2 linked regions of the Yarrowia lipolytica genome follow. The protein of the gene in region 1 binds, or shares a complex with, the protein of each later gene. Links are inferred from orthologs where the notes say so. Each region holds a gene or a part of one and is shown on either strand. Other genes may lie near its edges. The genes, in order: YALI1_B18205g and YALI1_C00962g.

The links.
Region 2: YALI1_B18205g (region 1) and YALI1_C00962g share a complex: the UniProt entries of both Saccharomyces cerevisiae proteins name them as parts of the DASH complex. The link is inferred for Yarrowia lipolytica from reciprocal best matches to the Saccharomyces cerevisiae genes DAD1 and DAD4.

What each region holds. Positions count from the first base shown.
Region 1 is NC_090771.1:1,819,531-1,822,531, forward strand, and holds YALI1_B18205g (uncharacterized protein), read right to left. Parts: upstream 1,021-3,001; coding exon 754-1,020; downstream 1-753. Other genes in the region: YALI1_B18190g (uncharacterized protein), read left to right, coding at 1-363; YALI1_B18207g (uncharacterized protein), read left to right, coding at 1,229-2,797. UniProt on the Saccharomyces cerevisiae protein: Component of the DASH complex that connects microtubules with kinetochores and couples microtubule depolymerisation to chromosome movement; it is involved in retrieving kinetochores to the spindle poles before their re-orientation on the spindle in early mitosis and allows microtubule depolymerization to pull chromosomes apart and resist detachment during anaphase.
Region 2 is NC_090772.1:94,226-97,003, reverse strand, and holds YALI1_C00962g (uncharacterized protein), read right to left. Parts: upstream 737-2,778; coding exon 506-736; downstream 1-505. Other genes in the region: YALI1_C00958g (uncharacterized protein), read left to right, coding at 1,190-1,429. UniProt on the Saccharomyces cerevisiae protein: Component of the DASH complex that connects microtubules with kinetochores and couples microtubule depolymerisation to chromosome movement; it is involved in retrieving kinetochores to the spindle poles before their re-orientation on the spindle in early mitosis and allows microtubule depolymerization to pull chromosomes apart and resist detachment during anaphase.

The sequences.
Region 1 (3,001 bases):
CTGGTATGTCTCAAAACCGATCTCAGAGCCGATTCCACATCCGCCCATTATCTCAAAGCTCAGGGACTGAGCCACATCACGCCGACGCAGGGCAAATCCATGGCACAGAGACTCGGAGTGTACAAATACATGGAGTGCTCATCAAAGGACATGTCTGGCGTTAGAGAGGTGTTTGCAGTCGCCATGGGAGCGGTGCTGAAGGAAAAAGGGAGATCAAAGAGAACCAAACCTGTGCGATCACAAAGTAAAGGGGCAGCGGCAGCAGCAGCGTCAGCCACACGTCCAAAATTACAATCCAGACCAGCCTCGGAACCGATCGAGAAGAAGAAGAAGAAGAAACGACACCAGTGCTTGGTGTTGTAGAAAGCATCAACCACAGCTAACAAGGGGTGATATAGTAATGCATTATGATGAGAAGGATACAAGAGGGCGCGACGTCTGTGTAACGGCAATGAACGGTAGCAGCCGTATTATTATATGTACGAGTACATATAATGTAGGAGTTGTGTGGTAGCTCTACTTGTGCATACTGTGCCAGTGGCCCAGTTCATCTACGGAGGTACAAACTGTAGAGTAGAATTTTTAATCCTACAAGTAGATACTTGTACTATAGACCTAGATCACATAACTCGAAATCTGAAAACCGGCCATTTACTCATCTCAAAGCACTCATCAGTTCATTAGAATACATTTATAAATAATCGTCTGCAAGTCCATCAGGCCCTTACTCGTAACTCGCAACTCCAAATTACACTACTCTTTGGTAGTGTCTACCTCGATGTCTCCGTCCTCCGTCTTCACCAGATCCTCATTCACGGTGTTGTAAAAGTGGCTCCACATTTCTGCGAGCTCTTCAGACTTTTGAGACAGGCCCACAGTGTGTTCCAACGAACGGTTCAGCGCGTTCAGGTTGTTGAGCACGTCTTCCATGCTGGCCGAGATGTTTTTGATGTACTGGTCCCGTTGTCGCTCGAAATAAGACCGTTTGTCTTCCGTAGGAAACATGCTGACTCTGCTCATGTTTTTTTTACAGGGCTTCCAGAGGAACTTGAGTGTCGTTCAGGAATACTTGTAGTTGTGATAACGCGTTTCACGGTGTCTTTGCACTTCGAAGTCCACTGCATATCGGAACTCTAAGTGTTCGAAAAGATCATAACTCTAAATATTGCATCCTCCCTCAATTACTGTATCACCATCAAAAGGCTGAGCTCACCCCCACAACGACATAATGGGCCTGGCTGACGAAATTCTGGCCGATTTTGGCTCCAGCGACGAAGAAAATGAAGAGGTGGACGAGGTGATGGAAGATGCGACTTCCCAGATCCCAACTGAAGTCATTGCAACCGAAACCACAGAACCTCTGTCGCCTACTCCACTCAATAACATCAACCTGGACCTGCTGGGGTCCACCAACTCGGCAGCAATGGTCCCCAGACTTCTGCCACAACTCAGAAGCATTTCTCTGTACGAAAGTGGTGCCACTCAGTCAACTCTCGCACTCACATCAAATCTAGAAGAGAATCCAGAGTACCATGTGATTGTGGGAGCAAACGAGTACTCGGTGGAAATCGACAACGCAGTAGCTGAGCTGCACAACTTCATCGCCACTAGATACAGCCAGCGGTACCCCGAGCTCAGATCACTCATCGCCAACCCACTACAGCATGCACAGGTAGTGGCCATTCTTGGAAACGATCCCGCAGCAGTGGCAAAGTCAGATAGCCCGCACTTAAAACAGGTGGTGCACAAGTCAGTGATGATGACTATTACCATGACTGTGGACCAAGGGGGACGACGACTCTCGGACGTTGAGATGGCCACTATAAACGAAGCTTGTAAGCTACTGATAGCATTGGACGCTGCTAAGCGCCAAATCACTAACTATGTCTCCTCGAAACTGAACCTCGTTGCACCCAATACGGCCATTCTGATTGGTGCTCATTGTGCAGCTCAGATTCTTGGATTTGTGGGTGGTCTCAACGGTCTGGCAAAGACCCCCTCTTGCAACATACCTTCTCTAGGAGCTAAGCGAGAGACTGCGGTGGGGTTTGGACAAGCACAAAGACAGCAGGGTTACTTGTATTACTCGGATGTGGTACAACAGAGTCCTGCTGATATCAGAAAGCAGGCCATGCGAATGTTGTCAGCCAAGCTAGTACTTGCAGCCCGTTTGGATGCCTCTAGAGCATCTACAGATGGATCGTTCGGATCTAAAATGCGAGAGGAGATTGAAGGAAAGTTGCAGAAACTAGCAGAGCCCCCGGAGATAAAGGGAGTCAAGGCCCTACCTGTTCCTATCGACAAACCCTCAAAGAAGCGAGGTGGAAAGCGGATCAGAAAGTTCAAGGAGCAGTTCAAGCAGAGTGAAATGGCTGCTGCTGCCAACCGAATGGCGTTCGGAGAGGCCGAAAAGACTGTGGACGTTTACGGAGAGACCGTGGGTCTGGGAATGTTGGATTCTGCTGCTGGCCTGGGATCAGCTCGAAGAGTTGAAGCTGATTCCAAGACCCGTGCAAGAATGTCCAAGGGGGCTCGATCGCGTTTGGAGATGCTCAAGAACCGTCCCAAACCTATGATCGACGGTCTTCAGTCGTCTTTGTCTGTTACGGCGCAGTCTATGGAGCTTAGTAAACCCAAGGGACCCAAGACGGCCACCCAGGATAACAAATTCTTTGCCTCAGGCACGTTCACACAGCTGGAGAGGGGCAGCGGATTGCAACTAGGCCCTAAGCGAAAAGCTGACGAGCAGAAGGACCGTGGCACTACCAAGAAGTTGAAGGAGGGTGATGGAAACTGATACTGCTTCAGCATGTAACATAAATGATAATTTATTGACCCTACCTATAGCGTACGCGCGACTAATGATGTGCGACACATATACACGTACTCGAATATATGACTGTACCGTACGAATACATACTCGTACTTACAGCCGTTATCGACACATGCTATACGTGCATACTCGTCTGGTACAACAGCTTCTCTACGCAGACAGATCAGC
Region 2 (2,778 bases), on another chromosome or scaffold:
TTTACAGTACAGTACTTTACAGTAGATTGTATAACTGTATCGAACTCGTGTGGGTAAAACATGTAGTGTAAGTACATACAGTAAAGCAAAGTACCTCTTGTCGCTAGAATATTACCTTGCAATGCTGGTAATATATGTTATTGTTACTGTACGAGTACAATGTCCTTCTTGGCCGTTCTTGGCCGTTCTTGTGCCGTTCTTGTGCCGTTCTTGGGCCGTTCTTGGGCCGTTCTTGTGCTGTTATTGTGCCGTTCTTGCGTTGATATGGTATGGTACTCCACATAATCACAACTGATGTCATTAGATCAATAAATATAAATACATATGCGGTAAAAGAATCACGTCGCAGAGAAAGTAGCCAGAACCGCATCTCACAGTCAACATACCACGTGACTGGGTTGCCCCGTAGCCGTCCGCAGTACTGTACCCGTACAGCACACAGCTCATATGTTTGCTGACTAAAGAAACAGCCGCAGCCATCCATACTGTCGGTCACGTAAACCTGCTAATCATCGTTCTTGAACGGCTCTTTCATGGCTCCACTTTCTCGCAAATAGTAATCCACCGAGGCCTGGTAGTTCTGCATGATTTCAGACACCACCGAGAGGTTAAGGTTGCGTGAATAGACCTCTTCCTGGATCTCGTTGACGCGTGCGATGGACGAGTTGAGCTTGGAAACGCCAGAAATGATGCGCGCAAGAGCGTCGGACTGGTCCTTTTCGTGGGGATTTTCCATTGTTGTGTTGAGTCGCGTTGTTAGTGTGGTTTCGTCATGTTGTGCACCGTCTGCTTAGAGTTTGAAAGTGTGTGGCATTAAGGTTTTAGGTCACGTGATCTAGAAGTGGACGGTAATAGTCAAAAGAGAGCTGTAGAGTGAGTAGCTACTCAAATTGATTTGTTCAACATATATGGGAATTAAAATGATCTCTAAAGCAAATATGGGTACTTTTATTAACATTAGTATCTCTTTTTGGGGTGATTTTCGGTTGTTTCAATGTATGTCTTCTTGTAGAGATGCAACTGATATTTTAAAAGTACCAGGTCGTACCTTGGGGATTTCTCCTTCATATTATCTACTCATAGTTCCATTATCTCCCTTCTTGTAGCCCATCGGTAACATCTACAAATATCTTCTTCACCTTCCAATAAAGTTAAGGTTCTGCGCACTGGGACAATTTTTTTTTGGTACATGAAAAATCTTGTCAAAGCTCTCCATCTCACCACAACACAACACCTCAAAATGCATCTTATGTACACTACTGGAAGCGACGGCAAGCGGGTCTATACTCTCAAGAAGACCACCGAGTCTGGCGAGATTACCAAGAGCGCCCACCCCGCCCGATTCTCTCCCGACGACAAGTACTCTCGACAGCGAGTCACTCTCAAGAAGCGATTCAACCTGTTGCCTACTCAGCAGGGTGAGTATTAAAAGTGATTTGGCGTTTGCCTGTCACGCGAGCGATCACGTGTGATCAGTGTGGTCACAAGTGATTAGCCGTGGTTTGATTAGGTGACGTGATACCGATGTTGGAGACTGTGGTCACACACAAGGGAATGTGACACCAACAGGATGGTGACAGAGAAGGAAGACTTGACACAATCAGGATGGTGAATCAGATGGGTGCACAGAGGAGTGATGGGATATGGTAGGCTGGAAGTAGGTTTGTTATGGTTCTCTTTGGAGTACCATGGACTCGACTTGACCCGACCTATCTTCCGACATCTCCGACCTTTGGGTATCTCTGTATCATGACTTATTCAGCGACTCTGGTTGTGTGACTGTGTTTTTTAATCTGACTCTGTTCTGTGCACCTGGGATCCCTTATGTTGAGGTGACTCCAGTTGGAACGTGCTTCTTTCTGTTGTGTTCTCTCATCTGGCGTTTACCGTGCCTCACCAACACTCGAAGCAACCACCAAACTCTCTCGTTTGACAAAACTAACCCAGCCGCCACCCCTTGGTAATTGGTATTTATTGATGAATGTATTATATCCATTTTAGATCACAAGAGGGTCCAGGGACCCATCGTGTACCGGATCGTCGCATGGTTTCTAAATTTGCGTACGTACTGAAGTCTTGTGGGATTGCCACTGTGCTGGCAGTCGCACTTGTTACACCTGTCAATACGATAATGTGTTACTCCTAGCAGTACATCATCAACGGTTATGACTCTCTACAGTATGGTAGGATGGGGGACGATTAATGTAGTCTGGTGTCCAGTGAATCTACATATGACTAATAATGGACCTAGCGAGCCCTCACCTTCATTTGTTGGAAGAATAGTAAACCAGAGGACTCATGAGAATGGCCGCAAAACATCCACAGCTTGAAGAAGATGGAAGACGAGAACTTCCTTGTCGAGGTAGAGACTACGCCGACAAAGACGACTGCTGTAGCCAACGGTTTGGCATTGAGAGACCGACCAGTAAGTCCCGGGATTTCTTTTGGAGCTGAGGCGACCGAATGGTGCTTCTTACTCCGTACCAGATCACATGGGCAATTCCCAGTAGAAGGACGCTTATGAGCATTGCTCTGGTGACTGTACTGAGCAGTTGTTCTCTGGTGTTGAACTTCAGGCCTCCAAACCTGTTGCAAAAGGTAGACTGAGGAGGGCAGTACTTGTAGATGGTACATAACATACTGTACCTGAGTTCACCATACAGACTCTGATGGAAATATATGAGTTCACGTTAGTTTAACAGGCTACACGCAGGGCGGTGACGCCTGTCTTGAAAGTCTCTTCGATCGTATCATGGCACAACTCTTCAGCTATAACCA